4 linked regions of the Oryza sativa Japonica Group genome follow. The protein of the gene in region 1 binds, or shares a complex with, the protein of each later gene. Links are inferred from orthologs where the notes say so. Each region holds a gene or a part of one and is shown in the gene's direction. Other genes may lie near its edges. The genes, in order: NAD(P)H-quinone oxidoreductase subunit N, chloroplastic; ndhK; NAD(P)H-quinone oxidoreductase subunit S, chloroplastic; photosynthetic NDH subunit of subcomplex B 5, chloroplastic.

Region 1 (7,045 bases):
ATCGGCCTCAGCCTCGGCATCGTCCAAGTCGTCGGTACGCACGCCATGATCCATCATCCAAAGCTTCTTGATCAATGTGTTCGTTGCGCTGACAAGCATGGCGTCGCGGTGTGCAGCGAACGGAGGGTTGAAGGGAAGCCTGACCGGGATCAGCATCGGCGTGGTGACGCCGATGGACAAGGTGTGGAGGAGCCTGCAGGCGTTCGGCGACATCGCGTTCGCCTACTCCTACTCGCTGATCCTCATCGAGATCCAGGACACCATCCGGGCGCCGCCGCCGTCGGAGTCGGCGGTGATGAAGCGCGCCACGGTGGTGAGCGTGGCGGTGACCACGGTGTTCTACATGCTCTGCGGCAGCATGGGGTACGCGGCGTTCGGCGACGACGCGCCGGGGAACCTCCTCACCGGGTTCGGCTTCTACGAGCCCTTCTGGCTCCTCGACATCGCCAACGCCGCCATCGTCGTCCACCTCGTCGGCGCCTACCAGGTGTTCTGCCAGCCGCTCTTCGCCTTCGTCGAGAAGTGGGCGGCGCAGCGGTGGCCGGAGTCGCCGTACATCACCGGGGAGGTGGAGCTCCGCCTCTCGCCGTCGTCGAGGCGGTGCAGGGTGAACCTGTTCCGGTCGACGTGGCGCACGGCGTTCGTCGTCGCCACCACGGTGGTGTCCATGCTGCTGCCCTTCTTCAACGACGTGGTCGGCTTCCTCGGCGCGCTCGGATTCTGGCCGCTCACCGTCTACTTCCCCGTGGAGATGTACGTGGTGCAGAAGAAGGTGCCACGGTGGAGCACACGGTGGGTGTGCCTGCAGATGCTCAGCGTCGGCTGCCTCGTCATCTCCATCGCCGCCGCCGCGGGCTCCATCGCCGGCGTCATGTCGGATCTCAAGGTTTACCGCCCGTTCAAGGGTTACTGATAACTGATCGGATCACGTACGCACCCAGAACGACACGTCAAAAAAATCAAAATTGCCCTTCTCGTAGAAGGAAAACCAAATTCACTTCACACGATTAAACCCAAAACGAAAAAAAAGGAGCAGTGATCAGACGCTAAGGGAAAAAAAAGTGTAAGTGCGTGTCACTGTTGATGTACTGTAAAAGATAATTTATGAAGGAAAAAGATAAGGAAATGGAAGTGCCTCTCTGTACTATGAACTCCTCTTATCAGTCATGTCCTGGCACCAACCTCACAATCTCAGCCAACTTTGGCGCTAAAATGCACTCACCGTTCCTTTTTTTTTTTCAAGTGATTGAATCCACCAAGATGAAAGAATCTTCCTCTCCTCTTCCTTCCACCATAGGTAAAAGAAAGAAAAGAGAGAAGAAAGCACCATGGATACTGCAACAAGGAAGAATCTCGGAGGCTCCATGGCACGTAAAAAGCTGAGAGATCCCAAGCAAGCACACTTTGAGACGGGATCTCGCTTTTTCTAGTGAGTTGGATTCTACCATTCTGCCATTGCCAAGTCGACACTCTTCAGTGGGTTCGTGCTGGCTCTCTGCTCTTCATGGAGCCTGGACCTCTGCAGTCGCCATCAATGGAGAGTGGGGGAAGAAGATTCTGCGGCTGGTACTAAAATGTTTATCGCCTTTTCCTTTTCTCTTTGGTGGTGCCCAGTTAGCAAATGTTTCTGTCACGTGGTTGTATTTAAAGTCTAAAACCTTCATCTCGCACTGAACTCTGGAGGTTAGGGAGTGATTAGGCAGGCATCTTTTAGGTGCTCTTTTGTTTAGGAAAAGAAAAACACTCGAGTATGTGCTAGGACGAGAAATTTGCGTACCAGGTTTCTTTTGTGCAACTGTAGGCCACTGATACGAGATGGTTAACCAAGGCCAGAGAATGTGCGTATCACACGCATGCCCAAAAAGTTAACCGTAATTAACGAAGCTACTAATCCTCAGGTACATCCCCACGGACGACACGGGAGGCGACCTCGCCGTCGCCTGTCTCCCCTTCCTTCCTCCTCCGCCTCGCCACCACCCGAGCGGTCACCGATAAAGCCGCACGGCCGCAAGGATGGCGGCAGCAGGACTTCGTTTTTTCCTCGTCGTGCTCAAGGAGTGGGGGGCTGGGGGCGGCGGAAACCGCGCTGATCCGTGCCGCCCGGCTAGAGATGGCAATGGTGAATTCACCGTCGGGGGTCATGCCCGCGTCCCCGTCACCGCAGTGAAAATATTTCACCGTCCCCGCCTCCATCAACCACGACGGGGCTATAATTTCTCCAGCCCCGTTCACCACGCGGTGAATTTTTCCTTGTGGTGAACCCGTCCCCGGTTAAACAACATATTCAGTCACATTATATCAAATATATCCAAAATGCTCCACTCAACAAATCAGCAAATTACAGAAGGAGGAGGCTGCTCCTGGTGAAGAAGGAGGCTGCCGGCGGCGACGGCGGCTCCCGGCAACGGAGGTTGCCGGCGGCTCCCGGTGAAGACGGCTGCAGGCGCCGCGCCGGCCCGGCGGCGCGTTGACGAAGGCAGCTGGCAACGGTGGCTTCAGTCCATGGCGACGGCAGCTTCAGTCTCCCGGCGAGAGAAGGCAGCGAGTGGAGGCGCGCGTGGTGGCTGGCAAACGGCGCCGGTGGTGGCTGGCGAATGGCGGCGCGCGTGACTCGGGTCGGGTGGTGTTTGGCCGCTGGTGTGGTGTGGATCTGGATGGGTGGGAGTTTGACCTGTTGACTTAGGGTTAGATCATATATATGCCTGTCAAATGGGCTTCAATATTATGGGCCAATACATCTAAAAAGTCTAGAATTCCTCCCTTGTACAGTACAGTCGGGTCACAGTGGAGGGCGGGGACGGGGAATGGTTCACCGTCCCCGCCCCCGTCATCCCCGATGGTGAGAGGTTTTTAACCATTTCATTCCCCATGGTGAGTGGATATTAACCATCCCCTGTCACCTAATAGGTGAATTCACCGCGGGGAAATGGTGAACGGGCCCCCATTGCCATCTCTACGCCCGGCTGGATCTGGCGGTGGGGCAGAGTGGTCGGGCGCAACGATTGGAGGTGTTGGCGGCGGCGGAGGAGGAGACCGCTAGATCCGTGCCTGGATCTAGCGGCGGCGGGCGAGGACCGGCGCCACTACGGCCGGATCCGGACGGCGACGATTGTGGGCGACGGTGACGGCGGTGGAGGTGCGGGAGGCTGCGTGAAATCCTAGCCCGGTCTTGGCCAGACCAGCAACGATGATGTTCGAGCGTCATTCCCCTCCTAAGGCCGTTGTTATGCCATCTCACCCTCAAGTGTAGTTGTCGGGCGAAAGCCTAGTCTTGGTTCGATTTGAGATCTTGATAGACTGTGGCGGCGATGTTTCATCACTTCTCTCCGTTTTCGTGGTAGAAACTAGAAACATCGTCTAGGCATCACCTTGTTGAAACCCTCAAGCTTTTGGTGCAAGCTCACTCTAGATTCTCATCCTCTTGTGACAGCGTTCTAGTTTCTGCAAGTTGGCCATGTCGAAGGGACTAAGGGAAGAGGAATTTCATTCTTCTCTCTCACCCTCTCCCTAAATCCCGAAGACTTGGATAGAGTGGTTTTGCGTTGGTTGTAAGGGTCGGGTTTGGGCAAAATCTCGGCTGTGTTTCGTTGTTGGCCTAGTGGTGGTCGGTCACGCTTAGCGGCGGCTGGCCCGGTGATAGCCTTATCTTGATTTTGTGTTGGTGCTATCGGTGTGTGGGTGGTGATGTACTTTTTTTCATTTTTCTTGGTTACAATATTACAACATTGTAATCTTGTATTTTTTTTCCTACTCTATCAATGGAACTTACGGGTTACGGCTTTCTGGTGTTGGGGTTCGTATTTGGGCCTGATCTAGCGTGGTTACATGCTTGGGCCACGTCTCGGACCATCCGCTTGGGTGGACTCCGCGGAGATCACCGCTCAGTTGAACAAACTGGGCGCACGACACCGTCTCCGAGTCTTATCCGCTCAACGCGGTCAGTACGCGCGCGGCTGTTATCTTCCCGCCACAGGCTCAAACAAACGACACCCACCCACCCACACACACTACACTACAGCAACCAGCGATGTGGTCGGCGGCGGCGGCGCGCACGGTGACCCCGCTGCCGGCGGCGTCGCCCCTGCAGCAGCATCAGCAGCGGCGCGGGGCGTGGGCGCGGGTGGGCAATGGTCGGGCGGCGAGCACGACGGCGGCGCGGGCAGGGCTGTGGGACTTCGTGGGAGGGGACCTGGTGAAGCCGGACATGGGGCGGTGGCTGGACGACGTGGAGAAGCACAAGTCGCTGGCCATCTACCCGCCGCACGAGGGCGGCTACGAGGGCCGCTACCTCAGCCGCCTCAGCTACCAGGGCTACTACTTCCTCGACCTCTCCGCCCGCGGCCTCGGCGACCCCGAGACCACCCTCACCAAGATCCACCCCGTCTGCCCGGTCAGTCCACAAAACAATCCTCTCTCTCGATCTCGATCTCGAGCTAGCTAGTAGCTAGCTGCCTCCGATCATGGCTGACACGAGCTTGCTTGCTTGATTGCTCTGATGTGCGCAGCCGAGCCTCGGGAGGCAGCCGGTGGCGAGGTGGTACTTCCCGCCGGAGGTGGACTACAGGCTCAGCTTGCTGCACCCGGACGCCAAGGGCCTCGTCGTCTGGGTCATGGAAGCCAAGGTCTCCATCCATTGATCCATCGATCTCACCATCCTGTTCTCTAGCTCAGCTCTGCAATTTCCCGTTTCGTTTCTGCGTCCCGTTAATTTGTTTGGTGGTTTCTATTTCTGCAGGTTCTCTCCAAGGCCGAGCTGCAGTTCCTCGCCATTCTCCCTGACATCCGCCCCAAAGTCAGGGTGATCGCGGAATGCGGCAACTGGTACGTAAACCTGAACCCCGAAATTAATGATGACGATGTGTTCTTGTGATCTCTGAATTAAATTCTGTGCCCTGTTTGGCCCAGGAGGAAATTTGTGTGGAAGCCGCTGAAGCAAATCGCGGGCCTTGAGCCGGACCCTGACGCAGAGGAATGAACAAGATCAAGACCATTAACAGGCAGCCTGAAACAAAGTTACTTGATATATATCTCATCCAACACACATTGTTTCCCGCTTTGTACTTCACTTGAGAGAGGCAATGAAGAATGTACATACATTTTGGCTCAAATTACCCCAAGACAACCATGTAAAATCAAACTTTCACATAATACAAATCCATCAGAAGACCATGCGATCCTTTCGTCTCATCAGCGGCGTAGGTAGACAAGGTCGGTGCTGAGCAGGAACGGGTACCCGATTCCCCTCCTCTTGGACGGGAAGAGCACGAAGAGGAGGCTGACCACGAAGCCGATCACGAGGGGCACCGTGTTCACCACCTTCCTGGGCACGCCGGGGTAGTAGCACAGCACGATGTCGTGGTGCGACGCGGCGAACGTGACGAAGGCGACGAGGGCCAGGGCGGTGTGGAAGAGGTCCGACCACCGCAGCCTGTACCTCTCCGGCTCCCTCGGCCCCGCCTTCCCGCCGCCCCGCCGGCGACGCCGGCCGCCGACGCAGAACGTGCGGATGCCGCTCGTCGTGGCGATGCCGTACCGGAGGCGGCCGGTGGGGGAGCGGAAGCTGTCGGTGAGCGTGAAGAAGACGCAGGAGGCAGCGCAGAGGAGCATGAGGGCGCCGGTGAGGGCGCGGTTGAGGCGGGTGCACTTGCCGTCGTCGGTGAGGAGGGGCGCGAAGATGGCGAAGGCGAGGATGGTGGCGGTGGGGAGGAGGACGTTGAGCCGCGCCGTGCCGCTCAGGATGAGGTTGGTCAGCAGGATGAGGCTCGAGCTATCGTCGTCGTCTTCGTCTTCGCAGTCGTCGTCTTGGTGTGGATCACCAGCTTCGTTGCTGGCTTGATCGATGAGCACCTTGCATTCTTCTTTCTCAGCCATTGGTAGGGGCTGTATGAGTGTATGCACGAGCTTGTTGGGGGACTTGGGATGATGAGAGAAGGTTAGTTAAAAGAGTGAGCTGAAACAACTAAATAAACAAGAAACTGAAAAGAATCCACCTTTCGGTACTCATGAACTTAGGCAAGGAAGAAAGGATTGCTTCAGCAAGAGTACCGAGCCAACCGAACCTTTGCCCCCACATAGAAGCTAAGAACATCACAGCAACAGATAATGAAAATAGATCCAGCAGCCTGAATGAAGGGGAGGTAAAAAAAAAAGGTTCTTGACGGAAATCAGCAATGGTATCTTCTTGGAGTTGCTCTTCCTACTTCTAATTGTTCATTTCAAAGAATACAACAGTTCCAAAGAACGGCATATGCATCTATCAGACCATCACCCGGGATTTACATCCAAAAAACCTTTTTGATTCTAACCCATTCTGGGTATCTTGAGATGTATAAGGGGTATCTATCCCCAATCTGTACCGATGTCTCAAAAATTACAGGGGAGCCGAGCTTTTACCTTATAAGACCTAAAGTACATCTACAATTTGTATGGAATGAAAGAATGGCTGGGATTGCTTGCAGTTCGCTGGTCAAAATCATTCTGCTGCTCTTGGTGACCTAAGAGGGAGGCCTTCAGCAGCAGACCTGAGGGGGATGCCTTCAGCCGCATAGCCATCTTCATCATGTTTCGGTATTCGGATAGGTAGAGTTGGTGGGAGTCCTACGAGGCCAGAGTGAGAATTCACAAACATATTTTTTGCAAATTAAAGAAAGAGTATGAAATCATACCATCGACCATATCTTTCGTCTTGTGAAGAAGAAACGTCCCAGAAAGGATGGTAACAAAACCACACATCTCTGTCACAATTTGAGTTGGATTTTGACGATCCCAGTCCTGCATGCAAGTATATTAGTTATCCACAACACAACTTGAGCTTGTTCACTAAGCACAGCAGGTTTCCACCGCTACATGTATAACTGATAGGACAGTGGACAGCAGTGATAGTTTATATTTAAGTTTTGCAGACTGCAAGAAGTATTTTATATTTTAGTTTATATTTAAGTTAGATGGGACAGGCTGCAAGGCATAATATTGACCACAACCACAAGGCTCAAAATTATATAAAGATTCTATGTCCATGTAGCGTAACAATTCAGCCAACAGCCAA
Region 2 (6,635 bases), on another chromosome or scaffold:
TTGATTTGCTAGTTGATAAGGTAAATATCCAGCCCACTAAATGCTAGGCTTAATGAGGATAAGGGCCTCCAAAAAAATTCTTTTCGTTCTATGAACTTTAAGGTGTATGAAGTCTCATAGTCAACTCTTGTAGCGGAACGATAGAGACTCTATTTCACTTAGGTTGATTTAATTTAGGCCGGCGAGACCTAAGTCAAGGTAATCCTCCTTTGAAACACTTTGGTATTGCTCTTAGATAGATCATAATACAAATAATCAATCAGAGCGCAGGGAGCCATCTCATTATCTTTCCGTAAAGAAAAACTATGGTGGACTAACTGATCTTTCTATCAGTTGATAAAAGAGCCCAATGCAAAAAAAATGCATGTTGGGTCTTTGAAACAGTTCGAATCATTTCGATAATAATCCGTTTGATCTGTTTTACCGAGAAGGTCTACGGTTCGAATCCGTATAGCCCTAATATGTCCTTTTTTAGATTTTAGGAGAGATATCCTACGTTTCCTTTAGTATAGTTTTCATTTCCCTATTAGTACTTGTTTATAGACTGGACAGGCGCCTGCGCCATAAAATAGAGATAAAAGGATTACCAGAGGCTCATTCATCGAAAATTATAGAGACAGGAAAAGAAAAATGAATTTCTATCAAATCAACTGCAAGATGTTCTCCATCTTGCAAATTCCTACTTTGTTTGAAGTATATTACTTTGCTTATCTATATCTATAGATTACCTAAATCTAAATCAATCTACGTTCTGAAATAGAGTTCTTTATTTTTATAGAATTACTCCTCATTAGGCTGCATACATTAGTCATCCTATCTTAATTAGGCTCTAATTCGTAGTATTTTCGTTTTTATTCCTTTTTCTAGAGATTCTAGAGAAAATGAGACAAAGTGAAGCGAGAGAGTTTTGTTTCTATAAGAATTATGTCTCCACCATACCTAAATAGAAAGGAAATCAAAAAGAAAGGGGGTCGGGATTCCATTGGATGAATCTTTAAAGAAGACGTGGCAAAGAGGAAACAAAGGCTAAACTAAGCCTTTGGTTTGAGAAAAACCGATCCTTGTTTCACCGAGGAAAAGAGAGAAATTCTGTATAAATTGACAATGCTGACTTGAATTGACTAATTCAGTTCCGCCTATTCCACATTAATGGGAGTACATTTATGTTTCTGCTTCACGAATATGATATTTTTTGGGCATTTCTAATAATAGCAAGCCTTATTCCTATTTTAGCATTTTGGATTTCAGCACTTTTAGCTCCGGTTCGTGAAGGACCAGAGAAGCTTTCTAGTTATGAATCGGGTATAGAACCCATGGGGGGGGCTTGGTTACAATTCCGAATACGCTATTACATGTTTGCGCTAGTTTTTGTTGTTTTTGATGTGGAAACGGTCTTTCTCTACCCTTGGGCAATGAGTTTCGACGTATTGGGTATATCCGTTTTTATCGAAGCTTTCATTTTCGTGCTTATCCTAGTTGTTGGTTTAGTTTATGCATGGCGAAAAGGAGCCTTGGAATGGTCTTAACTGAATATTCAGACAAAAAAAAAAAAGAAGGAAAAGATTCCATTAAGACAGTTATGAGTTTGATTGAGTTTCCCCTACTTGACCAAAGAAGTTCCAATTCCGTTATTTCAACTACACTAAAAGATCTTTCGAATTGGTCAAGACTCTCTAGTTTATGGCCCCTTCTATATGGTACCAGTTGTTGTTTCATTGAATTTGCTTCATTAATAGGCTCACGATTCGACTTTGATCGTTATGGATTGGTACCAAGATCAAGTCCTAGGCAAGCGGACCTAATTTTAACAGCCGGTACAGTAACAATGAAAATGGCTCCCTCTTTAGTGAGATTATATGAGCAAATGCCTGAACCAAAATACGTCATTGCTATGGGAGCTTGTACTATTACTGGTGGAATGTTCAGTACGGATTCCTATAGTACTGTTCGGGGAGTTGATAAGTTAATTCCTGTGGACGTCTACTTGCCGGGTTGCCCACCTAAACCAGAGGCTGTTATAGATGCCCTAACAAAACTTCGTAAGAAGATATCGCGAGAAATAGTTGAGGATCGAACTCTATCTCAAAAGAAAAATCGATGTTTTACTACCAGCCACAAGCTTTATGTTCGGCGCAGTACTAATACTGGAACTTATGAGCAAGAATTGCTCTATCAATCACCATCTACTTTAGACATATCTTCTGAAACTTTTTTCAAATCCAAAAGTCCAGTATCTTCCTACAAATTAGTGAATTAGGAGGAGCTCTTTGTGCCGAAAAAGAAAGAGCAGGGCAATATTTCAAACTTGCATTCGAACTGCGAAATATTTATACAAAGGAGGAGAGATCAAGATAATGCAGCAGGGTTGGTTATCTAATTGGCTAGTCAAACATGAGGTGGTTCATAGATCTTTGGGCTTCGATCATCGAGGAATAGAGACTTTGCAAATAAAAGCAGAGGATTGGGATTCCATTGCTGTCATTTTATATGTATATGGTTACAATTATTTACGTTCCCAATGTGCTTATGACGTTGCACCCGGTGGATCTTTAGCTAGCGTGTATCATCTTACGAGAATACAGTATGGTATAGATAACCCAGAAGAAGTATGCATAAAAGTCTTTGCCCAAAAGGATAATCCTAGAATCCCATCTGTCTTCTGGATTTGGAGAAGTTCCGATTTTCAAGAACGCGAATCTTTTGATATGGTGGGAATCTCTTATGATAATCATCCACGCCTTAAACGTATCCTAATGCCTGAAAGTTGGATAGGCTGGCCCTTACGTAAGGACTATATAACCCCCAATTTCTATGAAATACAAGATGCTCATTGAATGATAAGAAATTCATGCTCACTTATACAACACAACTCCAGATTTTATGCAAGTCAAGGAATATTTTTACGCTCTGTTCCTAGATGAAACAGAATACCTATTACATTCTAATTAATTCCAATTATACAAAAGGTTCAGATAGACTAAGCAAAAAAGGGCTTCATTTCGTTGGAAAATCACATATTCATTTCCTTCGTATGAACAGAAAAATATGATGACTCAAAGAAGTTCCCTACCACGAACTTTGTACCGCGTGCATTACTTAGAACAACTAGTAAAGTAAGATAAGATAAGCAAGAATAAAAAAATATTTGTCGGAATAGCGGAATAGAAAATTAAGAAATGCAAAAATGCAGAAAAAGAAGTGCCTCTATTTAGAGATTTATCTACTTAGATGAAAAAATCATACTCTATCTATATTATTAACGAATATGTATCCCAACCCATCTCGAGGTATTTGTATCAATACCTATTCGGAAGATCCCTTTTTTCTGTGCCAGGAACCAGATTTGAACTGGTGACACGAGGATTTTCAGTCCTCTGCTCTACCAACTGAGCTATCCTGACCTTTTCTTGTGCATCATCCTAGTAGAGTATTTGTATCTATGTCAATATCCAAAATTTGGAAATGGGGAGGGGGCAGTCCTATGCATTGTACAAAGAAAGCCTATTTAATAATATTTAAATATCGAGTTAATAATCGACATTCCTTGCCGATACTATAATAAAAAAGAAATGTATTCCATTGAATCTTAAACCTATTAATAAAAAAACAGGATAAATACTAGAGTTAGGAATAAAAGAGGGTTTGGGGATAGAGGGACTTGAACCCTCACGACTTAGAAAGTCGACGGATTTTGCTTTTACTAGAAATTTCATTGTTGTCAGTATTGACATGTAGAATGGGACTCTCTCTTTATCCTCGTCCGATTAATCCGCTTTTAAAAAGATTTCGAAAACTATGAATTGAAGGATTTGATTACTCAATATTCGATTGGAATGGATTCACAACAATTCTAAAAAAATTATGAATTTTCTATTTCATAATCATTCCTATTTTCATTTTAAAAAAGAATTAAAGAACCTATATTATGATATGAGTTCTGTGATTAATCGTTTGCTATGCCAGTATCTATACGTGGTATTAGATTTCGAAAGCCCTTCTTTCCCTAATTTAGAAGGGAGTTCCGCTAGCAACACAACGTAATTAACTCGATTCGTTAGAACAGCTTCCATTGAGTCTCTGCACCTATCCTTTTCCTTTGGGTTCTAGTTCGAGAACCGCTTGTTTTCTCAAAACATGGATTTGGCTCAGGATTGCCCCTTTTTTAATTCCAGGGTTTCTCTGAATTTGGAAGTTGCCACTTAGCAGGTTTCCATACCAAGGCTCAATACAATCAAGTCCGTAGCGTCTACCGATTTCGCCATATCCCCATTTTCTTTTTCTTTGAGACCAGGATTCCTTGTGCAATTTCCTCCATCTGTTAGTTTTTTTTGAATCGTTGAATTCATTACTCTATGTAGTCTAGCGGTTCGTCTCTAGTTGAGAGACTCCGCTTATTGCAATTCAGCATTGAATTGATTCTATCGTTGATGTATTTGCAATTCAATGCGAATCAATATATCCCAAGGTTTTTCTCTCCCCCACCTACCGCGTTCCTTTTTTAGAGTATTCAAAATCATACTATAACGCTTGATATTCATTCTTTTTTTTTGCTAATCAGAATTAGCAATTTCATTTGCTATGATTCTATGTTCTCCTTAGTGAAATATTAATCATTAAATTATTAGCAAATAACAAAAAAAAACAAAATAATCTCAAAAAATGTCTATAATGATGGACTGAAAATACAAGAAATTCGCATGTTCTCTTTATTATGTTTTCGTATATAATATATATTATTTATTCTTTTCCATGTATTAGATTATTCGTCCGAGCCATATCAAATTAAAAATATCTAAAATCAAATTCAATATAGAAATTGGAATAGATTCTATTAGAAAAATAGATTTGCGAATTAGAGAAAAAAGAAAGTTCAAAAAAATCTATCTAACTTTATTTTATGAAGTTCTAGTATTTTTTTCTAAGTAGAACTTCCAATTTCGAACTAGTTAATAGCTAAGATTAATAATTAAGATCTGACATTTTACGGATTTCCTATACTATACATATTTCTATTTGTTACACTATTTCTGTTATGTAAGCCCACTTAGCTCAGAGGTTAGAGCATCGCATTTGTAATGCGAGGGTCATCGGTTCAAATCCGATAGTCGGCTTTTTTCTCTATCAATGTTCCATGAACAAAAATACCTCTTTTTCTCCGAATTAAATGGAGAAGCCAGGATCTATTATGTCGGTCTACCCTACAATTTTGCTAGATACAAAACAATAAAATAAATAATATATATACAAAAATTCAGATGTTGATGAAATTCCATTTTTTTGTGGTACTTTTAGTAGATTTTACTCTGTTTATCCTTTACTTTAATTCAGTTTTAATTTCGATGTATTCTGTAATGTAAATACAATGAAATTAATTGTGTAAAATGAAATTTCAATAAAAAAAGGAGTCTTCATGTCCCGTTATCGAGGACCTCGTTTTAAAAAAATACGCCGTCTGGGAGCTTTACCAGGACTCACTAGAAAAACACCTAAATCCGGAAGTAATCTGAAAAAGAAATTCCATTCTGGGAAAAAAGAACAATATCGTATTCGTCTTCAAGAAAAACAGAAATTGCGTTTTCATTATGGTCTGACAGAACGACAATTACTTAGATATGTACATATCGCTGGAAAAGCAAAAAGTTCAACAGGTCAGGTTTTACTACAATTACTTGAAATGCGTTTGGATAATATCCTTTTTCGATTAGGTATGGCTTCAACCATTCCCGAGGCCCGGCAATTAGTTAACCATAGACATATTTTAGTTAATGGTCGTATAGTCGATATACCAAGTTTTCGTTGCAAACCCCGAGATATTATTACTACGAAGGATAACCAAAGATCAAAACGTCTGGTTCAAAATTCTATTGCTTCATCCGACCCGGGGAAATTGCCAAAGCATTTGACGATTGACACATTGCAATATAAAGGACTAGTAAAAAAAATCCTGGATAGGAAGTGGGTCGGTCTCAAAATAAATGAGTTGTTAGTTGTAGAATATTACTCTCGTCAAACTTGAACTTAAGGAAAAACGGAAAGGTTCATAGAATTTTTCTTCCCTTCCCCTTTCCCCGAACTAAATCGACCTAAGGCTCTTAATTCGTATTTTCCCATTCACCTAACAGAAATGGATTAACCCTAGGATTCCTTTTTGTTTTTTGTTCTTTCCTCTATGTGTATTTTACATACCATAGTAATTTGGTATAGAGAATTTCTATTAAATAAAGGTATTGTATTATTGCTGGAATAAATTGTCATTTGATTTGATACATTGTAATCATTAACGTTGCTGAATTAAGAAAAACGGAAAGAGAGGGATTCGAACCCTCGGTAAACAAAAGTCTACATAGCAGTTCCAATGCTACGCCTTGAACCGCTCGGCCATCTCTCCTCCATAATCTTATTATGGAAAAAAAACTGAGTGAATAGCGAGTTTTCCTATTCCTGCAGTACAGGTACAACCACAACCGCGCGAGAGTTCCATTGTTCTATTAGATAGAAAAATTCCTTTTCATCTAAGTGGACGGGTCCAGGATTTTTTTACTAGGAATTCCGCTCCCTCGAAAAGTTTTAGTTTGGGTTTTCCCCAAACCAAAGAAAAAGAGAATGGAAGAATTCTTCTTATTCGATAAAAAAGG
Region 3 (7,124 bases), on another chromosome or scaffold:
GGGAGGCGTGCGCGTCGACGAAGGCCCGGTCGGAGGCCACGGCGCGCCACGACCGGCAGACGGCGCGGAGGCGGCAGACGTCCCTCGCCGGCAGCCGCAGCATGATCTCGAACAGCGCGTCGAGGGGCAGCCCCGCGCACCGGCCCGCCGCCCGACGACCACGCCGCCCCCTCCTCCTGCTCGTCCCGGGCGGCGCCATCGCCCACCCCGGATGCCCCCCGATCTACGTAAAACCACCAAATCGTGAGAAATCCTCCTCTTATAGAACGCGGTGATTACGACACGGCGGATCCGGACGGCGGCGCGAGAGAAGGGAAAGGGAGCGTACCGTGGGGGAACTCCGGCGAGGTGAGGTGAGGCGGGCGCGGCGGCGAGGTCGCAGGCGGCGGCGAGAGGGAGTGGATGAGGAGTGGAGTGGAGTGGAGAGGCGGCGGCGGGTAGAAGTAGCGGCCGCGGCGCCGCTCTCGCTGTCTGGATGGGCCTTCAAATGGCGTCATGTCCAATCCAGCCCAAGCCCAACCTATCCGTGCGTTCCGTTGGGGCCCGGCCCATGGGCAGCCGAGAGTACGGCCCATCTGGAGGTTTCGTTTGGGTAGGGCCCATGGAAACCCACAAAGGAGAACGGTCCATTTGATTAGTGTGTTTGGGGCTGGCCCATGAAAGACCATAAAGCAGAGGAGCTCGAGGAACACTGAAATTTTTACAATTTAGCTTTTCTTTTAGACTATTTTCATAAATAGATCTTAAAAAACTATTTTCAGAAATGAATCCTTTTCTGGAGCCCTTTTTAGAGGCTGGCCCCTAGGTTAAATGGCTCGGCGCCAATAAGACTAATGTCGATCTCTCTTCCCATGAGGCTGTTCACAGTGCGCCTTGATGTCGAGTGGATTCGCCGCTCCATCTAAGCCGTATGATGCCGTGGAGAAGAGAAGGTGTGGGCCCTCGGACCTTGGCATAGATACTCGGTGCTTTGCATGGACACGAGTGCTTCCTCTGAAAAAAAGCTAAAAAAAGCAGGTGGGAAGATGGAACCTATATGAAAAAGCAGCTAGGAAGAGAGTTGGAATCTGGCGGGAAGCAGCGTTGTGAGGATGGCCTAGCTTGTGGTGCTGGAATCTTTAAAGAAGCCTCATCCGATATGACATACTAGATTCCTCTTAGGCTGTGTTTGGCACTGCCTATTCCCATCCTCTCCTCCTCGTTTTCCGCGCGCACACTTTCCAAATTGCTAATCGGTATTTTTTAAAAAATATTTTCTATAGGAAAGCTTCTTTAAAAAATCATACTAACCTATTTTTAATTTTTTTAGCTAATACTTAATTAATCACGCACTAATCCATCGCTCTGTTTTCTGTGCGAGAGGTGAGGGAACACAGCCTTAGTAGTACCTTTCACTGTAAGAGCAAGTATAATAAAAGGCCGTTAGAAGGTTGAATGCTAACGTGGATGAGAGAGGAGAGAGAGAGGGAAAGCGAGTGGTATGCTTAAAACTAGCTTAGGCATAGGAACCAAGAAAATATGTGAGAGAAACATGGGAACCATATAGTTTATAGTTAAGAGCTAACTACTACATGAGTTGGCTGAGAGGTAGACTGTGAAGATCTTATACCACATTTGACGTGATTTGGGCTCGTCGTCTACTCCCTCCGTCCCAAAATAACTCAATATAGGATAGGATGTTACATATTCTAAGACAACGAATCTAGATTGAGTTATTTTGTGATTCTCTCCATCCCAAAGAAACCAACCTAAGAGGGGATTTGACCCCTCCCAGTACAACGAATCTGGACACTACATCTCCTCTTAGGTTGGGTTTTTTTTTACGGAGGAAGTATTTCTTACGGATAGTAACTTTAGGGGCCTATTTATGAAAAAAAATAAAAAGGGGCTTAAATGTAAAATTTTCAGTCGAAAAACACGAGGTCCTCATCCGAAATTCCTAATTGGCGACTGGTCGCGTGCCCCCTCACCCCGCGCGGATGGACGCGTGGCGCGCGTAGGAGGGGGAGGGGGCGCGGCGGCCGCGCACAGTGGGAGGCCCGCGTTCTTTTTTTTTCGCCGGTTTTTATGGTTGTTTTCTTCGGTTCTTTGTTTTTTTAAAAAAAAAACATCACATATATAAAGTTTGTATATACAGTATACAAAGTTTATATACATACGTATATAAAGTTTATATATATGCGTATAGTGTATATATAAAATTTATATACGTGATGGTTTTCCTCTATTTTTTTTTATTTTTTAAAATGAACATATATAAAGTTTGTATATATATCATAAACTTTGTTATACGTTATATATAAACTTTTGTATATGCGTATATATTTACATATAAAATATATTTTTTAAATAGTACTAGTAGTATATAATAACAGTAGTAGTGGTGTAGTGGTCCTAGTTACCAGTACTAGTAGTACTAGTACTAGTTCTAGTTAGCTGTGTTTATTCTAGAGTAAAGTTTAGATTTTGGTTGAAATTGAAGATGATGTGACTGAAAAGTTATGTGTGTATGATAGATTGATGTGATAGAAAAGGACTGAAGTTTAGATCCAAACTTTGGATCTAAACACAGCCTTAGTAGTAGTAGTTAGTAGTACTCCAGTTACTACTACTTCCTCCGTTTTACAATGTAAGTCATTCTAGTATTTTTCATATTCATATTGATGTTAACGTGTAATAAATGCTAGAATAATTTATATTATGAAACGGAGGGAGTAGTAGTTTAAAGTAGTACAGTGGTAGTAGTACTAGTAGTACTTTAAGTATATACTGTACTCCGTATAGCAGTACCAGTCGCCCATTAGCCACCCCCGGTCCTCATCCACCTAGGCTTTAAAGGCTTCGTCACTTCCACACATCCTCTGCTCCGCTCTGCTCCACCAATGGCGCCCACCACCCCCGCCTCCTTCCTCCGCCCGCCGCCGCTGCCCCACCACCACCACCCCCGCATCGTCCGCCTGCCCCCTCCCTCGGCGACCTTCCGCGTCGCTGACCTCCTCGGCGGCCGGGGTCTCTGCAACGGCGAGGTCGGCATCCGCAAGGAGCTCGCCTCCGACTCCCCCGCCGCGCCGCCATCCACCACCACTTCTTCCGACGAGCCCGCGGAGTCGCCACCGCCGCCGCCGGCTGCGTCCGGGGTGGACCCGGACGCGTTCGACAAGGAGATGATGGGCCTCACCGGCGGATTCCCCGGCGGCGAGGTCGGCCTCAAGGACTTCGTCGCCAAGAACCCGCCTCCCCCCAAGCCGGCGCACAGGAAAGGTCTCGCCGCCGCCGCCACGGTGGAGCGGCCGAGGGCGCCGGAGCTGCCGCTGTTCCTCCCCGGGATGGTGGTGCTCGTCAAGAACCCCAACAACGCCTACCACATGTACTGCGGCATCGTGCAGCGCGTCACCGACGGCAAGGTCGGGGTGCTGTTCGAGGGGGGGATCTGGGACAGGCTCATCACCTTCGATCTCGACGAGCTCGAGGGGAGGGAGAAGGGCCCGCCCATGGTGAACCCTAAGTCCGTGCTGCTCGAGTCCCTCGCCGCGGAGATGGAGGACGATGTGGCCAAGGAGGAGGAGGGAGAGGAGGCCAAGAAGAAGAAGGAGGAGGAAGGCACCGCCGCCGCGGCTTGACCACCATTGCTGCTTCTGCTTCTTCTTGTATGTATACAGCTATCTATATTTTCTTAGATGATGGAAGTGAAAGGGGTATATATATATATATTATCTATTCGATGAGTAATTTCGAAGTGAGTAAATGTGTTGTTGTTAATTGCTATATGTACAGTTGGAATCTTAGTGTGAATTGGCACTATGAAACAAACGATTCGGAGATAAAAGTTTAGCTTCTTTGTTGAATTGCTATATGTTTGATCAATTTGATCACGTTTGGTCCGGATTGCTAGTGAAATGCCTACAAGGGCACCAGTTGCCATAGTTCATTATGTTGGTAGGATTAATTTTTTTTTTTACAAACTTGAATTATCATCTCTTGCTTCTTGAAGCGAAGAGGCTATGACAGTCAGGTAACCAGGCTTTCATGATTGTAAATTGTACAGAGTATGAATGTTCAAGTGTTCGTTATTCCTGACATGACTTCAAAATCCCGCAGTATTTCGCACAGCAACTATCTATGCATTGTAGTTTACGTTTGCCTGATAGCTGGTTTCCCATGATTTTTGTTTATTTGAAAGAGTATATGAAAAGATAGGGCCTTTACTTCTATATAACCTGCCTTACTCAGGAATAAGTGTAGCAGCAGATTTAAAAGGATGGTAAAGGAAGACAGTGAAGTAACAATAATGATATAGTGTTTTGCAAACAGAGTACAATTTGTATTGATTACCACCATCTATATCTATATCTATACTAATATAAAAAGGAGTTGTACCCCTCCAATCCTACGAGCCAAATCACTCGGATTAATCCCTACCGTCCATCCGCGCGCACGAATTCACCACCGCACGATTCCACGCCCAAACTTCACTCCTCCTCCTCCACACGCGAAGACTTCGCTCCTCCTCCACGCACGGACTTCGCTTCTCCTCCTCGCTCGCTCCTCCTCCTCCCCGCATGTAGCGCCGCCGCATCCTCGCCGTCGCCGGAGCTCCTCCCCGCGCGTACTGCTGCCGCATCCTCACCGGAGCCGCTGCCCACGCCGACATCTTCTGCTGCCGCCGCCAAATCCGGCTTCTTCCCTACCGTCGCGGCCAGATCCGACCTCAGCCCCATCCGCCGCCGCCGAGGTCGGCCCCTCCCGTCCCTGCCGCCGGAGTACATCCATGTTTCCCTTCTCGCTGTCGTCCACAGGCTCCGCCAATGCAATGATTGGCCTCTACCTTCCCTCGACCACCGTCTTCTGGACAAAAAAGCAGAAGTACCAACAGGTAAGGTGAAAATGCCCAAAATCATCTTCTATTTTGCAATCTGGCTACTCTTTTGCATGTATTCTTCTGCCATATGGGCTGGAAGGGGTGAATATGAAACTTTCAGATTAATTAATGTGTTGCAGTTTGCCGAATAAACAAATCAACAGTTCTTTATATTATATTGGTATTAGAATGTGGTTAAGAAACTTGTTTTCTACTGGATTCATGTTTTTTCTCTAACGATTTGTTTACTACACGCTTGCAGACAATTATCTGAACCACAAGGGGATATCACACCAACTCACTCTCTCGGCTTGTTTCTGGTATTTATCATACCCAACCTGTTCTCCAAACATAATATTTGTACCGCAACTCACATATTAGAATTACTGTACCATTGTTTCAATAGATGGGAACACTTCAATCAAAAGTTGTGTTGTCTCACTTTCGTTATAAAATAAAATAAAATCCAGTGCTCTTCAACCATGTTGGCAACATAGCCGAGTGTGAATTGTTGGGGATGATTATTCTTTTTTGATTGTTTGGTGAGATTTGATAATTCTAATTATTCTATACAATTCTCTATTCTTGTGAATTACTGATATTTTTTTGAGTCTTTTAGAAGGATACCCTAGAGTTGATGCCGATAAATTGAGGTTTATTTGTTGGTAAAGGATATTTGTAGGCTATTTGATTCGTTCTATAAATTGCAGAGCACCTATGCAAAATACAAGTGTTGTAGGGCTAACCCTTACAATTTTGGATCATTTTGGTTGCTATACATGTCATCCTGAAGCAACACTTCTTTCCAAATACTACACATCACCATAGCAGCTTACCATGGTGATCTAATCATGGCAGTTAGGAGGGCAGTAAATGGTGATGTATGTTGACTAGATACTTTGGAAATTAAATGAAGGCATTGAGCTGGCAATTTGGGCAAAGTAGATGGGAAATGTTGAGCACTATTAGTATGCACATATAATTAGAACTTACAACATGCACTTTAGTTTACAACTCTCTAATGTTTTCTGCCAAGAAGTTCCATATCAAAATGCCTGCTAAAATATTTCTGGGTGTTTGCTTTCAGAAATATTGCTATATATAATAGAAATGTAAAATCAATCAGGGTTGTCAAATCAAGGCATAAGGCGTAATGTTAAGATTTAGTAAGGACTGCTAGCCCTGTTAACCAGTTCAGCATGCATGCCTGAATTCATTTTTCTTTCTTACTGCCACCTAATTGTAATATTTGATTGATGTGAAACAGGGTTGTGGTCCGACGTGAGAATCTGAACAGCTATTCATATCCTAGATATCATCTTCCTAAGATTTTCTTTTTCAGTAATAGATTTGAGATTCATGCAGTTAAAATTACTGCAGAGTATATCAACTTTACAGTGACATGCTATGAGCCTATGAGTTATGATCTTGTTCTTTTCTTTTCAAGTTCTCCAAAAATTGGAACTACACCAAGCAGTAGCAACACCAAGTGATGTATCCAGCGTCACTGGCAGAATCATTCGTGACCTATCAATGATGGTCATCCCCATTGAGCATCACATGGTTCACAGAGGCCATGGCATCTTTGATTTCCAACAGGTTAATCCTTGTCGTCTCATGTTTTGAATTTTTCATCTCCACGTTTGCTTTTGATGGTTTACACTTTAAGTTTGACACTAAAATGTTCATACTCCAGATGAACTGGTTCTTGATCATGTGATCATCAGATACTTGAAAATTTGCGCATTTGGTACTGAAATTAGACTCAAAGTGGACTCTGCATTTATGTTTCCAACTACCCGGTCCAAAAAATGCTTGTAGTAAATTACAATTATCACCTAAAAATGTTGGTGGCACATAACTTAAGAAATTACGATGGTTCTTTCGATATAAAGTGATGTCATCGGAATTGCTTCATGAATTACTTGCAAAGTTGTTTAGCAGTTGAATCTTGTGCTTATTGTAATTCAATAATCTTTTGATCATCAAATTGACCTTGAAAATATTAGCCTTTACTATTTCTGATGAGATATCCTTTATCTTTATGATTGGAATCTGGATTTTCTTTGGTCAATGTTAATTTGACTTGACATACACTGTGCATAAGAAAATATTTTACTATCAATACTGATCCTTTATCTTGGCATACATTGTTTTGTGTTTTACTTGACGGATGAAGTGCTGAAGGCGAAAGAAGTTGGACAGACCTTCTCGGTGTGACACTTGACAACACATATGAGGCTGTGGATGTATGAGATGTGAGCAA
Region 4 (8,300 bases), about 2.5 Mb from region 1:
TGATCAGGATATTTCTTAATAAGTATTACAAGGGACCCAGATATATCCACAATATTACACAATAAATTGTATGAAATCTTGGTGCAGGTGATGCAAAAAAGCAATTTCAACATATTATCAGATGATGAGGTTGAGCTTGCTCATTCTGGACAATATCTGCTGAATCTTCCCATCAAAGTTGATGAAGCAAAGGTTAACATCCTCTCCCTCCAGGCTGTGTCCTAATCTAAAAATCATTGGATTTGACAATATTATTGTAAAATTTGTTTTTTACTGGTGCAGTTAGATAACAAACTTTTGTCAAAGTATTTTAAAGAGCACCATCACGACAACCTACCGGAGTTCTCAGATAAGGTGAGTAGCTAACATTATGTTCTGTCTTTTACATCTCTTCAGTGTTATCTATCAGAATATTTGTTTATAGAAGATGAGAAAGATGGTTTTGAAGTGGTGTAATTGATGGTTAGCCAGTGTATTCCTTTTTTTCATGTGTTGTTAGTGTAGCAGAACTGGATGCTTGCCCTCCTAATGACCGTGTGCTGTGGCCAAGTCATCCTCAAATATTGTTCCTGAACCATATGCACACCTAATATAATCTTTTATATGCCAGTATGTCATATTCCGGAGGGGCATTGGACTGGATCGCACTAGCAACTTTTTCTTTATGGAGAAAGTGGACATGATCATAGCTCGTGCGTGGCGATGGTTCTTGGAGAAAACAAGGTGCGCTATCCACTACATATGTATTTTCATGTCCATTTTATCTTGATCGTCCAAAAGATTAACTATTTTCACAATGAAATTTTAGACTGCAAAAGCTCTTCTCAAGAAAGAAAAGTGTTAGGCCAAAGACAGATTCCAAGAAGAATGATGATCTAGTTGGTGAAGAAGAGGACAAGGAGCTATATGTTGAACGCATACGACTTGAAACAATGAATTTGAGGTTTGTGCTATTCTTGACCTTTTAGGCCATCACAGTTCCTGAAAACTTGCTATTGCTTGTCTTCTCCACTCATATTTGATATTTCCTTCCTTGTTCTGTAGCTTGCGCAACTTAATTGGCAAGGTTACAATTCAAGAGCCTACATTTGAAGAGGTGATTGTCTTGTACAGGTAAGTCCCGTAAATTATTTGCATCTGAGGATGCAGGAAACCTTTTTCGGGTGCGCCCTGGTTGTGAATTGGCTGCTTTCATGATGTCTTGAACTACTGTGTTATAACTGATTTCTGACTGTTCTTTCAGGAGGAAAAGCCCTAAGGGCCAGAATGATAGATCAATTCATGTAAAGCACTTCAAAAATATTCCAATGGCAGATATGGAGCTGGTTTTGGTAAGTGTAGAAGCTTAATATGCCAAAGAATAATGTGGTGACATCCATATTGCTTTCTTCAATTGGACTTATGCTGAAGAGAAATTATGACTGTTGCAGCCTGAGAAGAAAAATCCAAGCCTCACACCAATGGACTGGGTTCAGTTTATTGTTTCTGTTGTCATTGGACTTGTAAGTGGACTGGAACTGGTTGCACTTGATTGGGTTGTGATTCATCACCTGATGATTATTTTTTTCACATTGCTCAGGTTACACTTGTCAGTTCGCTCGAAATGCCTAAAGCTGATTTCTGGGTTGTAGTTGCCGTCCTTTCTGCCCTGGCTGGATATTGTGCCAAGATCTATTTATCGTGAGTGCCTTGGTTGATATATTTGTTTTGATTGGGTATTCGTCTTGTCATCTTGTCGGTAATCTGCATTGTGTATATAATAGAGCAGGGACAGGGAGGATTTTTGTTTACTCATCCAGCCAGAATTACTTTAGAATACCTCCATAAAATGCAGTTTTGCTTCCCTGATTCCTTCAGCATTTTCTTATTTATGATGATACTTTATTTGCTGTATTGGTTGTATTGGACAAATTTGGTAAATAAGCTACCTTTGATTCAGGTTTCAACAGAACATGGCAACATATCAAAACCTAATAACTCAATCAATGTATGACAAACAGCTAGATAGTGGGAAAGGCACACTTCTCCATCTCTGTGATGATGTGATTCAGCAGGAAGTAGGTCTCCATATTGTAGTACTTGATTCAGAATAAGCATATCAGAGACTTGTGCTCACAATTATTTTCATCTTTGTGGTTTCTGAATTCTGATGTCCAGGTCAAGGAGATTATAATTTCCTACTATATTTTGATGGAAAATGGAAAGGCGACTATTGAGGTATTGCTTTGGTATTTGAAACAAGCATGTTTTGTTTCTGAAGTTGTGCAAGTATAAAAATTGAGTTGAATATTCTTGGCACTCAATGCTAGGATCTTGACTTACAATGTGAAGAGTTAATCCAAGAAGAGTTTGGCTTGCAATGCAATTTTGAGGTGATGGATGCTGTTCAGAAGTTAGAGAGGCTTGGCATCATTACAAGAGTGAGTTCTTACAGCTTGTTACAGCAGTACCAAATCATAGTGAGATATATATCCCCAAAAAAAACTTAGATAAATTTCAGAATGTATAGAATCTAAAAGAATTTTTAAATGAAATACCATTATGTTGTTACTCGCATTTTCTCTATTTTAATCATGGATAATAAAGCCAGTGATGCTTGCAGGATTCTATTGGAAGAATATGCTGTCTATCTCTGAAGCGTGCCAATGAGATCATTGGCGCTACTACAGAAGAGCTGGTTATGAAGGCCAGACAAAGCTAGTTATCCAATTCTATTTGAACCAGGTAATCCTTTGGTGGACTCTAGGCTTCCATCATTAGATTGTTTCTGGTTTTTTGGATGGGACATTATATTGTTTCTGGAATACTCCAAGAAGTCCTGACACTGATTTCTTTGCAGTTTAGGGGGGCAATAGGTCCTGGACGGCTGCGGAATAATTCTCCGATGGAAGTTGAGCAGATATGCTATTGTTGTTCTGTTGTAGGACCTGCTGTATTATGCAATGTTTAATGCATGTTGTAAGAAATTTAGTTTCTTCTTGGAACAAAATGTGGAAAGATTTCAGTAAAAAAAAATGTGGAAAGAGGTTCATGAACTGCTGCCTTGTTTGTTCAGTTAATGAATACTCCTACAAGAAATGCAGCAGCCTGCTAACTCAAGGCACAAGAGCCAAGTATGACGCATAAAAAGCATACTGAAGCAGTGAAAAAGCGCTGCTGATGGTGCACTGTATCTCAGCCACTGAATCAGTGACGTCCGACACAGTGACACTGGGTTGCTGGTTCTTTTTCTGCTCTTTTCATTTACAAATCATGTCCTCATGTTGCAGTTGTCTTTTCCTTGTCTCTCCTGATGTGTAAAACACAAGGCTCTGTGCTTGCTGTTGCTAACAATTCAGATTCATCAGAATGCAATAATGTAGTACTAACAAATACTAGTTCTATTCATTCACAAGATTATCATGCATATCTGACCTGATTACTGACTGACTAATGAGGTGATGCAGATTTCTTTCCAGGCATGAAGAAAAAGAAAGAAAAGAGGAAAAAAGCAGCGAAAAATCCTGGACGGTACATGCCCCATACCCATTATCCTCTTGTTTTTGTCTCCTTGCAGCAAAGTATAAGTGCAGCAGCAGCTACCAGCTAAGCAAGAAGCGAGCAGCAGAGCTCAGCGTTTGGAGCGAGATGATGAGCAGCAGCAGCAGCTTGGTGTCCGCCATTTCTGCGTCACCGTCTGCCACTGCAAAAGCTCGCCTTCGTCATGACGATGCAGCAACAGCAACAGGAGCAGCAGCAGCAGCAGCAGTAGCAGCGAGGCAGCTAAAGACGGAGCATGGCGGCTGCTGCTGCTGCCGGAGCAGAGGCCGGGCGGTGGTGGCGAGGGCGGGGCCCGGGCCACTGACGGAGATCGAGCCCGACCTGAACGAGGACCCCATTGATAAGTGGCGCACCAACGGCGTCAGCCCGGTCTGTCCTCCTCGCCGTCGCCGGCCACCGTGTTGAGAATTTCATTATTTTTCTCTATTCCAAGCAGTTTCCATGGTTTCTTTGATTCTTTCTTCAGTGATTGCTGCTGCTGTGCTGTGTTGTCTGAAGAAATGGTTTTGACACTGAAAAGAATCTGCTTTGCAGGACGACTTCGAGTATGGAGTGTATGATGGTCACCACACATATAATGAAACCCAAGGTTCTTTTTCTGGGCTATCTTATCCAGTTATCCATTCCTTGAATCAAAATGCGTAATCATGCTCATGTGTGCTAATTTCTGATTCTTATGTGATATGATGTGGAAAAAAAAATCATTTGACACTGAAGATAAGAAGGGCTTTTGGGAGGATGTCTCTGAGTGGTACCAAGAAGCTGAACCTCCTCAGGGCTTCCAAGGTAGTAACAGCCAAATTCCTTTCTCACTTGGATAAATCAGAGAAAAATCAGATTCTTTCAGATAAATCAGAGAAAAAAAATCAGATCTTTCTTCTCTTAAGACAAGCTTGCTCAATTTGCACTGATGGGCCATCTCTTGCAGCACTGATCTCCTGGTTGTTTCCTCCTGCAATCATCCTTGGCATGGCCTTCAATGTTCCGGTAACATATTGAGCAGTAGTTCCAGCCTACTGACATGTATCACATTTCACAATCTGTCTTGGCTCTTGAGCTCTCTGAATATGTGTCTACTTCTGCCACTAGGGGGAGTACCTCTACATCGGCGCAGCAGTGTTCGTCGTCGTGTTCTGCGTTATCGAGATGGACAAACCGGACAAGCCACACAACTTTGAGCCGGAGATCTACATGATGGAGAGATCGGCTCGCGACAAGCTCATCGCCGACTACAACACCATGGACATCTGGGACTTCAACGAGAAGTACGGCGAGCTCTGGGACTTCACCGTCGACAGAAGAGATGAGATTGTGAAATCGTCTTAGATATGGTATTCAGAAATGGGGGGTCACATTTGTTAGATGCAGCTGCAGAAACAGTTCAGAAAATCAGAACCACTCCAAAGAAAAGCAGGGTGGCAAAGCTGCAAGATGAGTCTCTTCAAAATAAAGAACTTTGAGATGAAATGATGTGTGTATGGATCATCTCATCTACTGTAAGGCCTGCTTTCTATGTCTCTGACAGTCTCAACTCTGAAGTTCTCAGCCAGGTACAAAAGGAGACTGAAAATTCTGTCATGTGTATTTTGTTTTCCCCCCAATGTAATGGAGAAAATCCTGTGAATGACATCACTAATTCAATAGATATATATAGTAGTATAATGGAATAACTTTGGCATCAGCCTCCAATATTATCAATATGTAAAAGAAAAGGAAATATCATTCTTTTCTTGTACAGGAAAAGGAATAAAGGGAACCTCACAGCTGTTCCTTTTTTGTACACTTGAGTTACAGCTGAATCACTATGAAGACCAAAGAAAAGAGAGAGAGAAATAATAAATGGAAAGGGAATTGCTAGTCTATAACTCTGATGATGAGAGGAAACTAGCTAGTTCTTCTTCAACCTGATGTTGTGAAGAGCTGACTACCTAGAGTCACAGTTGGTGTGCTTTCTGGCATGATTGTGGTCATCCTCATCTCTTGCTCGCGAATTCGGTTTATCTCCGCCTCCACCAAGTTCATCGATGGGCGATGCTCGCTCGTCGGGTTCACGCACCACGATGTCAACCGCAGAAATTCTCTCATGCCTTCTGAGGTATAGGCACTGGCCATTCTGTTATCTGCAATTGCAGAGATATCACTTGATTGTTGGAAGTTCTGCACCTGCGTATCAGCAAAACTGCAAATTTAGTACGGATTTTACAACGGTCGACAGATTATTACAAGAACAGGGAAAGCCTCTAACAAATGAGGAATTGGGTGTGTCAGCTGCAAACTTTGGAAGTGTTGGAATTTACCCATCGAATGATGTTTTGATCAGACAGAGCCCTCTTGCCACTGAGCAACTCCACAAGGAAAACACCAAAACTGTATACATCACTTTGAATGGAAAAATTTATGGATTCCCTCATTCTGTCATGAAAAAAAGAAGTTTCACTCTACTCAATCACCAGTTGCTGATAAAAAATTGGTACTTTTGCAAGAACCACATACAAAGCACTAAAGCAGATAGTTCTGTACTATCCACTGAACATAATTTCTAAGAAAAACTTATGACTTACCTGGGATCAAGGAAAGGATCGTAAGATGTTCTCGATGAAGGGCCTACACCGCCTAATCGATCTAGCAGGGCACGGATGCCGGCATCTGCAACTTTGGGTATGAGATCTTCATCCACAAGGACGTTGGCCGTTTTGAAGTTCATATGGACCGTGGGAGGTGTCAGAGAATGCAGGTGATTTAGGCCTGAATAAAAGGAAGATCATTATGCTGCTGCAAAAATGAGCAGCTAATACTATCTTTCATCATGGATGGATGTTAATTTCTTGATTATGATTTTCGCCAGGATAAGAAAGTTTAGAGCTGGTGTACATGAAGAGACTGACCTTTAGCAGCTCCATGAGCAATGGAAAGTCTCTGCTTGAATTCTAGCTTTACACCTGGAGCATGGCTGCTACCTGTGGGACACCAAAAAAAAAATGATATTAGCACCTATGATGCTCTTGTTGAACACGGTAACAGTGTTAGGAAAACACAATGAAAAATCACCATGTAAATGCGTAGAAACGCTGCCATTGGGAACATACTCGTAAACAAGCATCTGCATTCCATTCTCCTGGCAGTACCCCAAAAGGTTTACAAGGTTACGATGACGGATCGACGATAGATAATTAACCTTCAGACAAAAGGACAATTCATGAGTAAATGGTTACTGTCTTGCAAGTTCTTTTTTCTAAAATATTTTGAATTATGTGGAGAAAAAATGGTTTGACTTTTTTTAGTGGAAAAGGAAAGCAGTTTTATTTCTTTCCTCTTGCATGCTTACACCACTATATCAATTTAGAACCAATGGCTACTTTAGAGAATCTGTGGATAAGGAGAAAATTTTGGCACCTCATGAATAAATTCATGGCTAGGAGGAGAATGTCGCTTTTTAATGGCTACAATTGTGCCATCCTGGAGTAAACCCTTGTAAACCTCTCCAAACATTCCATGTCCAATAAGATTCACATTGCTGAAGTTCCTTGTAGCTGAACTTAGCTCCTCCAGAGTCATACATCTTGCTCCCTGCAGCTCTGGTATATATATAGAATGCTGTTTGTCAAGTTAGAAACAGAATCATTGAAATTCAGAGCCTCTTGAGATGATATTTTAAGCGGTACCTGGTTGAGCTGGACTGGATGAACTACTTTCCGAAGAGTCTGAAGCTCTTCTGCGGTGCCGGAGGAAAAGTACTATAAGAAATATGGCGGCGCCTACTAATGCCAAGAATCCTGCAGCACCTGCTAGAGATGCTGCAAGAATTGCTGACATCTAGTATGAAATCCCCTTCTTCAGAATGGACTGTCAATGTTTGTAGTGATAGTGATGAAGTTTGTAATGGTAGACATATAACCTAAAGAGAAGTACATTCTTTGAGATCATAAGAACAATAATTCAGACATTGCTGAACCAAAAGTGCAACCTTACACAATAAACTAAATAATCTTAGAACACTAACAAAAAAAATGCACATTGTATGGATGGATGGATCGATCAAGTGATTTACTTCAATGATAATATGTTTGACCCCAAAATTCTGGACTGATTGTCAGCACATGACATATTTATTTAATGTTCTAATGGAGGGTGGGATAAAATTATGCATGGCTGATATGGTTGACTTCATCAATTCTTTGGTTCATCAGACATGTTTAATTCTTGTAGGTTTTTAGCAGCAGTTGTAAATTAGGAAAGTGCAAGACAATGCTGACATCAGTAGTATGAACCAAGCCATCATTACTACATAAGCCCAAAGAAGGACAACTGTGATATCAAATGGAACAACGCGGGTTTGTCGGACATTCGGAGTTAATATTGCGCAATAAAATAATTGCCTTTGGCTTTTTTTTTCATGCCAATCCCTTTAATTGAAATTTTCCGCGCCATAAATATGTTTGAAGAAACCATCTCTACACTACTAAATTCTCATGCTACACAAGCACAAGGAATCTCACAAATTCAAAGGTCTGTACTAAATTGGGGGGGGGGGGGGACAAAATGACTATATGCGAAAACAAATTATTGGCTTCAGCATTGTATAAAAATAGAGATCCTCTTCTACTAAATTAAGGAAATACTAGTATGAATGAGCTGCACGTCTCTCTTGGACAGTTAGGTCATGAGCCATTTCAAGCTGTAGGCATAGGAGTTGGCTTCATTATGTGTAAGAAGCAAGTTATAAAAATCTACCATTTTTTTTTATTCAACAATGTGGCATT

What was found.
Region 2: the proteins of NAD(P)H-quinone oxidoreductase subunit N, chloroplastic (region 1) and ndhK are in contact, whole or in part, in a cryo-EM structure (PDB 7WFG), measured with the Arabidopsis thaliana proteins. The link is inferred for Oryza sativa Japonica Group from reciprocal best matches to the Arabidopsis thaliana genes NdhN and ndhK. Residues at the interface, in NP_200634.1 of Arabidopsis thaliana: Pro80, His81, Gly83, Gly84, Tyr85, Glu86, Gly87, Arg88, Leu90, Asn91, Arg92, Leu126, Lys128, Tyr142, Ala146, Pro148, Pro149; in NP_051063.1 of Arabidopsis thaliana: Ser3, Ile4, Lys5, Phe6, Pro7, Thr20, Asp24, Trp28, Thr117, Asp118, Thr151, Arg154, Lys155, Ala158, Arg159.
Region 3: NAD(P)H-quinone oxidoreductase subunit N, chloroplastic (region 1) and NAD(P)H-quinone oxidoreductase subunit S, chloroplastic share a complex: the UniProt entries of both Arabidopsis thaliana proteins name them as parts of the chloroplast NDH complex. The link is inferred for Oryza sativa Japonica Group from reciprocal best matches to the Arabidopsis thaliana genes NdhN and NdhS.
Region 4: NAD(P)H-quinone oxidoreductase subunit N, chloroplastic (region 1) and photosynthetic NDH subunit of subcomplex B 5, chloroplastic share a complex: the UniProt entries of both Arabidopsis thaliana proteins name them as parts of the chloroplast NDH complex. The link is inferred for Oryza sativa Japonica Group from reciprocal best matches to the Arabidopsis thaliana genes NdhN and PnsB5.

What each region holds. Positions count from the first base shown.
Region 1 is NC_089035.1:38,934,834-38,941,878, reverse strand, and holds NAD(P)H-quinone oxidoreductase subunit N, chloroplastic, read left to right. Parts: upstream 1-3,922; 5' UTR 3,923-4,027; coding exon 4,028-4,390; intron 4,391-4,505; coding exon 4,506-4,622; intron 4,623-4,735; coding exon 4,736-4,821; intron 4,822-4,905; coding exon 4,906-4,975; 3' UTR 4,976-5,169; downstream 5,170-7,045. Other genes in the region: amino acid permease 4, read left to right, coding at 1-34, 117-913; protein DMP7, read right to left, coding at 5,188-5,871; probable magnesium transporter NIPA4, read right to left, coding at 6,473-6,597, 6,666-6,771. UniProt on the Arabidopsis thaliana protein: NDH shuttles electrons from NAD(P)H:plastoquinone, via FMN and iron-sulfur (Fe-S) centers, to quinones in the photosynthetic chain and possibly in a chloroplast respiratory chain.
Region 2 is NC_001320.1:44,191-50,825, reverse strand, and holds ndhK (NADH dehydrogenase subunit K), read left to right. Parts: upstream 1-1,579; coding exon 1,580-2,257; downstream 2,258-6,635. Other genes in the region: ndhC (NADH dehydrogenase subunit 3), read left to right, coding at 1,164-1,526; ndhJ (NADH dehydrogenase subunit J), read left to right, coding at 2,355-2,834; rps4 (ribosomal protein S4), read left to right, coding at 5,411-6,016. UniProt on the Arabidopsis thaliana protein: NDH shuttles electrons from NAD(P)H:plastoquinone, via FMN and iron-sulfur (Fe-S) centers, to quinones in the photosynthetic chain and possibly in a chloroplast respiratory chain.
Region 3 is NC_089041.1:5,274,041-5,281,164, reverse strand, and holds NAD(P)H-quinone oxidoreductase subunit S, chloroplastic, read left to right. Parts: upstream 1-2,791; 5' UTR 2,792-2,882; coding exon 2,883-3,620; 3' UTR 3,621-3,845; downstream 3,846-7,124. Other genes in the region: putative F-box protein At1g32420, read right to left, coding at 1-199. UniProt on the Arabidopsis thaliana protein: NDH shuttles electrons from NAD(P)H:plastoquinone, via FMN and iron-sulfur (Fe-S) centers, to quinones in the photosynthetic chain and possibly in a chloroplast respiratory chain.
Region 4 is NC_089035.1:41,425,587-41,433,886, forward strand, and holds photosynthetic NDH subunit of subcomplex B 5, chloroplastic, read left to right. Parts: upstream 1-2,849; 5' UTR 2,850-3,627; coding exon 3,628-3,909; intron 3,910-4,074; coding exon 4,075-4,129; intron 4,130-4,257; coding exon 4,258-4,326; intron 4,327-4,468; coding exon 4,469-4,527; intron 4,528-4,629; coding exon 4,630-4,866; 3' UTR 4,867-5,210; downstream 5,211-8,300. Other genes in the region: uncharacterized protein, read left to right, coding at 88-192, 283-354, 611-723, 809-943, 1,045-1,113, 1,244-1,331, 1,431-1,502, 1,580-1,680 and 4 more; serine/threonine-protein kinase-like protein ACR4, read right to left, coding at 5,440-5,703, 5,838-5,952, 6,102-6,285, 6,426-6,497, 6,589-6,715, 6,934-7,115, 7,203-7,353. UniProt on the Arabidopsis thaliana protein: NDH shuttles electrons from NAD(P)H:plastoquinone, via FMN and iron-sulfur (Fe-S) centers, to quinones in the photosynthetic chain and possibly in a chloroplast respiratory chain.